3 linked regions of the Xenopus tropicalis genome follow. The protein of the gene in region 1 interacts with the protein of each later gene in a pairwise test. Links are inferred from orthologs where the notes say so. Each region holds a gene or a part of one and is shown in the gene's direction. Other genes may lie near its edges.

Region 1 (3,656 bases):
CTGTTCCATCTTATTAATCCCTAAATCAAACTTTTTTGTCTTGTGTATCTTGATTTTTCTGTGTGCTTTATAGTGAAGCAGCCGACACGAGTCGTTGTTCATAAAACAGCTTTTGAAAGTTGAGAGCACACCCCTGGAGAACCGACTGTGCTTGCTTACGTTTGGTTCATGACTTAAAATTCGAGTACAGGTGATAAAATCTCGGCAGTGTTAACACAAAAAGTAGTGTATATTGTGCAGTTTTTTTTCTACCCTAGATCAATTAACCAAATTGTTATTAAAAGAAAACAAAGGGATAAGTCAGAATTACTGGCTTAGAATTAAAAGTTAACTGTATATAGTGCTAGAAGCTGGCAGCCAAATATGTGCTTCCAGCAAGCTCAACTGATAGAGCAGGGAGACCGTGTCTGCAAATTGTTTGTTTTAACGTCACAAAACAGTGCATCTAATACTTGGTGGTTTTTCTGCAGGAATAATTCCTGATGAGGCCAAAGCCCTGTCATTGGTGGCGCCAGCTAATGCAGTTGCAGGCTTACTGCCCGGAGGAGGGCTTCTTCCCACTCCTAATCCACTCAGTCAGGTATGTATTACACGTTTTTATGATTTTACAACTTAAAATCAATTATAAGGGTGATAGCAGATGGGAGGTTTTGTCAACAGTGCTTAATGTTCCTTCTGCCAGGGCCCTAAGTTTAACGATAGCCACTTAGCCAAGATATAGACACGTCCAAACATACACATGGAGCAAGAGCAGCTGCAGGGTTTAGAATATGAATTCTGAGTCTGTTGTCCTCCATAAACTGATTAGGCTGTGATTTGTGTCTGTGTTGAGGTGTAGCGGAACATACATGTTTAAAAGAGATCTAACTTTTGATAAAGTAGGGTAGAATGCCGCACGCGTCTAGTATTGTTTTGGAGTTCTGATCCAACCAGAGGCTTTTAGCTGAGTAGATTTAAAGGTACAGTATACACCTAAAAAAACACCTTTGCTAAACATTAACTCAATAAATAAAAAGTGCTTGTGTTGAAATCGCATCCTGCCTATTGTTTTAATTTAAAAAAAAAATCCATATTTTCATATTTGTCACATAAAGCACTAATTTGTATAAACAGGGCAATTTGTTCAGCGGTCCCTATTAAACAAACCAGCACCTCCCTTCTCTAAGCTGTAGACATTTAACAGCTTATTATCAAGGGCTTCTTGGTGGACTGTTAATTCATTGTATCGGTTTCTCTGAAGTTCTCCTGCATCAGAAAGTTACAGGAAGTGCTAAAGTGAAACTGCCTTCATTTTTGTGTTTAGTGCCAGAAATGACAGAAACCATAGATATTATTTAATAAAGTTGAAACCCCATTTATGTGTTTCGGGGGATTGAAATATCAGGGAGATACACTATACATTATATGTTGGTGTGTAAAAATGAGGGAACTATGTAATAGTTATATCTAAACAGTATTTATTGATATTTGTATTTTGTAAAAGAAGATCTATACAATGGTAAAGTTGTGGACATGTGATAATTGTAGGACGTTTTTGCAATTGCACTGACAATTTATACTTATTACCTCACAGAACTCCTAAATTGCTTTAAGAAAAAACTAGATTGTTCTCAACTTGCAAACATAAAGACCAGACATTTTGTTGCTGCTCATATCAAGGCAGAATCCTTTATTCTAGAGGGTGTGTTGTCCCCACAGCTTTATCTCCTCCATTGTGGGTGACAAAAACCATCAGAAATTCTATGAACAAAAGGCAATGCGACTCACTGGTGTTAAAACATCTGAATTATTTAACTGTCAGAAAATGCATTTTCTGTTGGTTACATTTTAGCGTCAAAAATTCACACTGCCTTCTATTCAGAGCAGTTTTCTGATGTTTTATTGACCACAATGGAGCAAATTTAATGGCAGGGATATATTAAATGTGCCATTCCTCTAAAAGACCAAGCCTACTTGCGTTTTGTTACAGGGAAACATTCAGCTTCCAAGTGCCTCTTATGTACAGGACTGTCCTTAAGGGGGCATGGGCCAGGATCTTTCATTTTAATTATCAGGTCAAACACGCCCTCCTGTATATATCCAAACAAATATGTTGTTCATACTATTTTTTGACAAGATAGGGTGGTTGTCGTTTTCATATTACTGCTTTCAGTACAACCTTTTTACCTTCTCTATAGGTTGAAGTGAAACTGTGGCCTCATTGAAAAGTGCTTGACAAATGGTAGAATCTATTATTTTGGCACCAGCACTTCTCAAACAGTGTACTGTATAGGCTATATAAACAGTGATTTTCATAATTGGAATAGTTAACTGTTTGTAGTTGTATACCTAGGGGCTGATTTACTAATCCACGAATCCGAATGGGAAAAATTTGGATTGGAAAACGAACATTTTGCGACTTTTTCGTATTTTTTGCGACTTTTTCGTAGCCGTTACGACTTGCGCTTATTGTCGCGACTTTTTCATAGCCATTACAAATTTCGTGAATTGTCGCAACTTTTTCATAGCCATTATGACTTTTGTGAATTGTCGCGACTTTTTCATAGCCGTTACGACTTTCGCGAATTGTCGCGACTTTTTCGTATTGAGCGCTCGAAAAAGTCGCAAAATACCATTCATTACGAAAAAAACGCATTCGGACGCTTTTCGGACGTTCGTGGATTAGTAAATGTTCCCCCTAGTGTTTGAGGCATTGCAGCCAAATGTCTGTCATGGCCCTTGCAACATTTGAAATTGCTATTTAGGCATATACTAAAACATACAAGAAGTTTACTTTGTATTAACTTCTAAAATTGCCTGCATTGGAGTTGTATATCCATTTTTAGTTTCTAACTGCGCGCTAGATCAGTTTGACTTCTAAGTGTATCCTTCTATTGTTGTACACAAAATCTTGCTAAGCCAAAATAAGCAATTGTGAGAAATATATTTTCTGTATAGCTATGTGTTGAACATTTTTACTTTTTTCCCCACATAGATTGGTGCTGTCCCACTTGCTGCATTGGGAGCCCCTACACTTGATCCAACTCTTGCAGCCCTCACTCTTCCTGGAGCAAACTTAAATTCACAGGTACCTCCTGTTTATAATCTGCTTATTTACTAGGTGGATGTTTGCATGCATGGCTATTTACCTTGCTTGTGTTTCAAATGAAAGCATCCCTTTTGTCTTGAGAACCTCATGTGTGACTCTGTCTCTGTAACTTATTACAGTTTATATAGATTTGTTTAAGGTATTTAAAATCAAAACAGCAAATGTAGAGTGGGCAGAGGAATGCTGAAAACTTTTGCAGGTATTTCTTAAATGGTGCAAAATTATTAATGCAGGTAAATTTGGTGATAAGTTTGTGTGGGGAACCCAAAAATTGATTGTGTTTTTGACTATATAGATCCCCTTTAAACATATCCATTCATATGTAAGATATGTCATATGTAATGTTTTAATCTTCTAAGCTTGTGTATTTTCTTTCAGTCTCTGGCAGCAGATCAGCTTTTAAAGCTTATGAGCACCGTTGATCCAAAGTAAGTTTCCCTAATTCTATTTATTTGTAGGTTTTTTTGTTTTGTTTTTTGGTAGCTTCTCAAGTAGCTCTCTACCCAACTATAGTTTGTAATTTTTAATGGTTACACCCTGTAACACATGGTATTTCCATAATCCAGTT
Region 2 (3,656 bases), on another chromosome or scaffold:
TTCGAATTTGGGCATCATAGCACAAAAAAATGAGATTGTGGCAAAAATATAAATTTGAATCTTGATAAATCAGTCCCTAGGTGAAGTTTTTTTTTTAATTAATTTCCTGTTTTCAGGAGTGTCTTTTCATTTGCTAATTATGAGCAATCATGTCAAGTGATTTAATTTTTTAATTACAATTTTTTCTAAAGCTGATTTCAAAACATAAAAATTAAAAGAAGTTTACAACTTTGAACTTAATTATGATTTTGCCCCCTCAATTGCTAGCATATTTATAAAATATCTTGAATCAAAAAAACTCAATTGTGTTAAGTTGCTGATAAAACCTTGACACAAAAATTGCAAAAATTGCTAGAATGATGAAACACGCCTCTCATTAACTTCTATAGAAACTTACCCGGTTTTAGTTGCTGCCATTTTCACTAGAATATTCAAGACTTGTTTCATTTATAAACTTTGTTTGAAAATGTAGAATTGGAAAAATTGCAAGATCATGATTTTTGCAGTTTTAAAAACACTTTCTTGAATATTAATAATGTGCACCTTAGTGTTTAGCAATAGGATCTATTATCCAGAATGCTTGGGACCTGGGCTTTTCCAGATAAGGGATCTTTTTGTAATTTGGATCACCATACCTTAGGTGTGCTAAAAATATTTAATACATAAAATAAACCCAATAGAATTGTTTTGGAATCCTACAGCTTAGTTACCATCAAACACAGGAATATTTTATTATTGCACAGGAAAAGGAAATCACTTTTAAAAATTACATTTATTTTGTTAAAATGCCCTTCCTATTAATTTGGAGCTTTCTGGATAACGAGTTTCCCGATAATAAATCCCATATCTGCACTTTGTTGATTAATTTTAAGATACCAACCTTAATATGTCATTAGTGCATTTACTATATTTTATGTTTCTGAAAAATAAAATTTCAATCTACGGTGCTTGCAAGTTGATATGTTTTCTCTGTGCCTTCTACAAAGGTCACGTGGTAGGTCTCGGAAATCCCATCGTCATCATCATCGACATTCACGCTCATCAAGCTCAGAACACAGATCTTCAAGCTGTGAAAACAGGTAATAAGCTAATTATCTCTTGGGCTCTTCAATGGTACTACAATCAACCCTAAACTTTTCTTCATGTCTTGTCCCCCCATCTTGTAATGTTATGATGTTATATTAAGTATAAAAACTTGCACATATGTAATAAAAGGCACAAAACTTGCACAGTTGCAACAGCCCATAGAAACCAATAAGGTGTTTGCTTTTAAACAGGTGACCAGGAAATGCTACCTGCTGATTGGCCGCTGTAGATGATAAAAACTGCAGCAGTACCTTAACACTCATTTGTAATTGGCACAGTAACCCAATAAAATGTTTGCCACTAAATGCTTTTTGCTTGGTTGCTATAGGTAATTAGAAAAGTAGCAAACTTTGCACCTTTTACTGCATCTCCCCTTTAGTTTCTTAAAATAACATGAACATAAAAGTTTAAAGGAGAAGGAAAGGTTAAGTCACTTGGGGGTGCCAAAATGTTAGGCACCCCCAAGTGACTTAAATCGCATAATTTTTACCCCGGGCTGGTGCCCCTGTTCGGAGAGAACAGCACCAGCCCGGGGTAGCTGCGAGCGCTTCCTCTTCCGTATTCGCTGCGCGCGCATGCGAAGTTGAGTGAAAAAGCCGAACTTAAACATAGAAGTTGGCTTTTCACTCTACTGCGCATGCGCCGGCCCACGGATTTCGCCGGCAGCTCGCTGCAGGTACCCCGGGCTGGTGCTGTTTTCTCCTAACAGGGGCACCAGCCCGGGGTACAAGGTAAGTGATCTAAGTCACTTGGGGGTGCCTAACATTTTGGCACCCCCAAGTGACTTAGCCTTTCCTTCTCCTTTAAAATATTCTCTTCCGTCTTTTATATTGTCAATTGAGCTTTGCAAGTTGTTATACAATTGTACAATCCCGAGTAACTTACTGGCACTATATAAATGAATGATGATGTTCAAAAAACTTTCTTTTCTTTAATTACAGACTATATGATCAGTCAAAAGAGGAAAAACATCGATCAAAAAGAAAGCGACAAAGATGTAGAAATTCTAGGTCCGTAAACAAGAAAGAGAGGAAAGGCAAAAATCAATACAGCCCCCTGTCAACAAAAAACAGGTGTATGCACTCCACCAATACTGAAGTAAGTAGATCTTTTCAGTCTAAAGTTGCCCTTTTCACAAGGAAAGTGGGTGATTATATAATGTTGTAACTGTAGTGCCAGAAGGGCCTGGAAAATATTTATCAAATCCTCCATTTATTGATTCCTAAAACAAACAGATTTATTAATATTCTTTACCAGAGGCTGTTGAATTGGCACAATGGTGAGACTGCAACATGGGTTTATGTAGTAACACTGAAAAGGTGGGCCAGTCCAGTAACCAATAACAACTAATAAAAAATGTATAGTGAGCATAAGTGCAATTGGCAAACAGCCAATTGCAGGGTCCTCCCAAGTCAATAGGTGTGATTCGGTGTGACCGAAGAATTAATGTCCCTCCAGTGGAATTTCATGGTTCAGGGAAGCAGCGCCTCTCTGTCCACAATAGCGCTTTCTGCACCAGAAGAGCCAAAATCCCAATTTTAAAACATAATTTCTGCTATTTAAATTACCTGGTAACTTGCAGGGTGCTGCTGCCTGAGGTGAGTTTCTCAGCTTGCTCATGGCAGCAGCACCGATGTGTCCCTCTTAACTTTGCAAAAGTGTAGAGCAGCTTTAGGCACAAGGTGGGCAGCCACTACTGCACTTGTGGCTTGTAAATGACATTTCTCAATGCATATTGATGGTAAATCATGTTCAGTTTCCTGAAGAGGGGATGTCAATGTCCTAAAAGTTTGCATGGTTTTCTTAGTAGTATAGCAAGGATATAAAAAATAGTCTCTCCCAGGCTGGGTTGTCCATTTTTTTACTTTACTTCCTATTCAGTTCTTCACCTATTCATATTTCACTCTCTTTTAAATCACTGCCTGGTGACTGGGATAAATAAGACCGCAGCAACCAGATATCTGCTAAAATACCAAACTGGAAATCTGCTGAACAGAAAACTTAACAATTAAAAAACCACAAAAAATAACATAAGACCAAAACTGTCTTAGAATATCAATGTCTACATCATACTAAAAGTAAATGTAAAGGTAAACAATACCTTTTAAGGTGGCCACACACAGGGTGATGTATACAGTATTCCAAATGATCATCCCTGGGCCAAAAGGGTTTCCTATCTATTGGCTGATATTGACTATCATCTCAGCCACTTTTACTTCTGACAGGAATTTGGGCAGATATTGAAATAGCCCCAAAATGCTGCCAATCCCAGGCAGGTCTGCAAGCCCCCCCATGTTATCCCACTTTTCAAGAATCAGGTAAGAATCAGCTAATTTGGTGACCTTGTTAAAACAGGACATACAATTTGGCCATAGACTGCCTAAAGTTTACTTTCAATTTGAATAACTATTGAACTTGACTCATGAGCATGCATCTGTGGCCAGGTCTGATCACTGGGGACCCACCCCATGCAGCCAAAAGATAATAACACAAAGACAGATGGGATCATTAGTCCGCCACAATAATTACCCAATTATTTAAAATCAGATTGTAAGGATATATTTTTAGTA
Region 3 (3,532 bases), about 5.9 Mb from region 1:
GATGGTTTATATTATGTTAAGTGGCCTTAACATAAGGGAATACATACTGTATATCAGTAAATATTGCTCTTTACTCCTTTCCCTTGAATCACCATTTAGTGATGGGCTGTGTGCTCCCTCAGAGATCACATGACCAGAAATAATGCAGCTCTAACTGTAACAGGAAGAAGTGTGGAAGCAAAAGGCAGAACCCTGTCCATTAATTGGCTGATGTGGCCTAGCATGTATGTGTGCCTTGGCTTGTTTGTGTGCACTGTGAATCCTAGGAGGCGGCCCTTAATTCTTAAAATGGCAATTTTCTATTTAGGAGTACCCAATAGCACATACTACTAAAAAAAAGTATTTTTTTATGAAAATGGTTTATTTAGATGAAGCAGGGTTTTACATATAAGCTAGTGTATGCAATATATTTTTTATAGAGACCTACATTGTTTGGGGGTATAGTTTTCCTTTAAGCCCCCAAGTCCTTTATTTGTATTGTTTCAGTTACATAGTCATAGGCCTATGCATATGTACCTGATGGGAATAAAATGCCTCAGGCTGTTAAATAAAGTTGCAAGCTGTCCTTTGGTTCTAATGGCCAAAAGAAGTTGCTACTACTATTTTATTCTATATATCTCACTAAGAAAATCAATACAAAGCTTATACTCATCTTGTAAATGTATACTAGGAACTGTTCTGATAAAGCAGTGGTTAAAGGGGGTAAAAATGCAAAAAAAAATATATTTTTTTTTTAAAAAATGTAAATTTTAATTTGGAAAGTTGGATTTACCCTTTTTATAACATAGAAGTCAGACACATAGCGGCCCCCTGCTCCAGCATTTGAAGGCAGACACATTGTGGCCCACTGCAGTTCATTACATTACACAGCGTTGACACATTCTGGCCATCAGCACATCCAGATAGATACATTGTGGCAACCTGCACCAGCATTTTAAGGCAGTCACATTAAGGGACCCATACCAGTATTTCATAACACAGTGTGGCACCAGCATTTCATGGCAGAGCATAGCCCGTAGAATGCAGAAGGATTTATACTCAACTGTAAATTGTTGAGTGGTCCTTGTATAGTTTGGAGTACATGTATACAAACTGTGCCCCCTTCCCCGACACTGTGCCCTAGGCTCCTGCCTACTCTGCCTACCCTTAATTCCCGAGGCAGCCCTCTTTGCACAATGTCTGGCACAGTGTTCAGCATTCGGGTGCATATACACATCAAAAACCTTTCACTTTAGGGCAAAGCAATGCACACGTGTGCCGGAGCCTTGGAGTAGGTGGAGTTCGGGGGTAAATAACCTAAGTGCCTGGTTATGACAAATGCTTATAAGAAATGGCACAGTAGCTATATGGACTAAGACAGTAGGCAATGTTTCTTTAATTCTGTGCTTGCTAACAGCATGTTATTTTTTAGCTGCCTCAATACTGCAGAAAGTGAAAAGACCAAATTTAAAGCTTCAGATGGTAAGTACTGACCTCAAAATACATTGTTTGTGATTGTTTCTCTAGAAAAATATATTTTTATATTCCATCAAAGCTACTACTGATTTGAAGTTGTAATTCTTTGTTTGAATTGTTTATAACTTAATTGCTCATCATAGTATTTCATATAACAGGACCTGTACCATTGGCAGATCATGGGCGGTAACCTGACACAGAATATTAAGACTTATTTTCCTTTAATTGGTGAGCTTTATGGAACTATACTGTATATATCTTAAATCTATTTCTCAATGAACATAAAGGAACTTTTTGCCTATATGTGTAAAATCAATTATATAAAATAACATGTTTTTTAGTACTTAAAATGACCTTTGAAGCAGGGCTGGATATGTAACAATATGCAGGACTGGTTGCAGATCATTTTCACCCCTGCTTATATAATGACACTGAAAAAGGTTAAACTGGCATTTCATTATCAATTCAAACAATTTTTGAGTTCATTTTGATCTGTTCAATGCTGAAACCTTCCCAAGGCTTTAGGTAACCTGCTTCTTGAAAGGTTAGGGGTGGGGACTGGGACTGGGTTGGCAGAACATTTTGCCTCTAAATCTATATAATGTATTTGGGTGCTAAAGTCCTCCCTGCCTCCTACTGTATTTTTCATGCAGTGACATTATTCTTGGAAGTCACAGTACTAATGTTTGTTTGTTTAAAGGAGAAAGAAAGGTAAAAACTAAGTAAGCTTTATCAGAAAGGTCTATGTAAATACAGCCATAAGCACTCACAGACTTCTCTGAAAAAAGATTAGTTGTGTCTGTAATTCCTCTGCCAGAGACACGCAGCTTTCTGTTCTCTGCTCTTTCCTGCTCCCCCCTCCCTCAAGAATGCTAAGCGCTCACTCCCCCCCCTTTAGAAATGTGGATCTGAGCCAATCAGCAGGAAGCTGACTCATAGTCTAACTAACTGAGCATGTTCACTAGGTCTGCATGTCTGTGCAGGAGTGAGGCATTATGGGAACTTTCTTTACAGAGCTCAGCGTTTTTTCTTCCTGTTTGGCTTCTGATCATCTGAACAGGTGAAATATGGGGAGACTTAAGGGCACTATTGAGAGAACTGAAGGTATGCCTGCAGCTTGAGATTAACTCTTTACTAGCCTTTCCTTCTCCTTTAATATGATATAAATTATATATAAATGATGAATGTGACAGAATCCCTTTAACACGTAGCATTCCCTATGGCTTTTAAGAGTGGCAGCAGTTTATTCCAACTACAGTAGTTTGAACCAGGATACAAATTATTCTTTCTTTTGTTTCCCTTTGCCATTGAGCCTGTAGTGAAAGGGAAGAAAATGAAATATATCTTTATATTACTATTAACGGTTGTCTAAAGTAGAAAGGTGACTTAGGTGACTTAGAAAGGTAGTTATTGTGATGCTACCACTTTATGTGGATTGTAGTTGTATGTTTAACAGGAGGGGGGTAAGCAGCAAACAATGGACATTTGTAAAAAAAAAAAAAAAAAGTTTTCGAATACCGTATTTTTCACCATATAAGACGCACCTTTTCTTCCCCAAAACTGGGGGGAAAAAGTTGGTGCGTCTTATACGGCGAAGTATCTTCCTCTCTGTGCCGCGGCTCTCTGCCGCATCCTCGCTTTTATAAGGTTGCGCCCGTGCGTACTGACGTCACACGCACAGGGCGCAACCTTATAAAAGCACAGAAGCAGCTGGGAGCCGCGGCACAGAGAGGAAGACATCACGGGAGCCAGAGGCCGCTGGGGGTAGGTTAGGGGGGAAATGGAAGGTGCTTGGGGGCCCTGGGGGAAGCTGAAGAATGCTGGGAGTGCCGTGGGGGACCTGGAGGATGCTTGGAGGCCCTGGGGGACGCTGAAGGATACTTGGGGGGGCCCTGGGGGAAGCTGAAGGATACTTGGGGGGGCCCTGGGGGAAGCTGAAGGATACTTGGGGGGGGGCCTGGGGAGAGCTGAAGGATACTTGGGGGGGCCCTGTGGGAAGCTGAAGGATACTTGGGGGGGCCCTGGGGGAAGCTGAAGAATACTTGGGAAAGCTGAAGGATACTTGGGGGGGCCCTGG

What was found. The genes of interacting proteins can lie anywhere in the genome.
Region 2: the proteins of srsf11 (region 1) and srrm4 interact in binary tests that used the Homo sapiens proteins (3 or more experiments, as listed by UniProt). The link is inferred for Xenopus tropicalis from reciprocal best matches to the Homo sapiens genes SRSF11 and SRRM4.
Region 3: the proteins of srsf11 (region 1) and hyi interact in binary tests that used the Homo sapiens proteins (3 or more experiments, as listed by UniProt). The two-hybrid records come from large-scale screens. The link is inferred for Xenopus tropicalis from reciprocal best matches to the Homo sapiens genes SRSF11 and HYI.

What each region holds. Positions count from the first base shown.
Region 1 is NC_030680.2:82,762,584-82,766,239, reverse strand, and holds part of srsf11 (serine/arginine-rich splicing factor 11), read left to right. Parts: exon of another isoform or gene 1-190; intron 191-470; coding exon 471-580; intron 581-2,974; coding exon 2,975-3,067; intron 3,068-3,466; coding exon 3,467-3,516; intron 3,517-3,656. UniProt on the Homo sapiens protein: May function in pre-mRNA splicing.
Region 2 is NC_030677.2:165,776,341-165,779,996, forward strand, and holds part of srrm4 (serine/arginine repetitive matrix protein 4), read left to right. Parts: intron 1-986; coding exon 987-1,079; intron 1,080-2,027; coding exon 2,028-2,184; intron 2,185-3,656. UniProt on the Homo sapiens protein: Splicing factor specifically required for neural cell differentiation.
Region 3 is NC_030680.2:88,655,499-88,659,030, reverse strand, and holds part of hyi (putative hydroxypyruvate isomerase), read left to right. Parts: intron 1-1,411; coding exon 1,412-1,461; intron 1,462-1,613; coding exon 1,614-1,683; intron 1,684-3,532. UniProt on the Homo sapiens protein: Catalyzes the reversible isomerization between hydroxypyruvate and 2-hydroxy-3-oxopropanoate (also termed tartronate semialdehyde).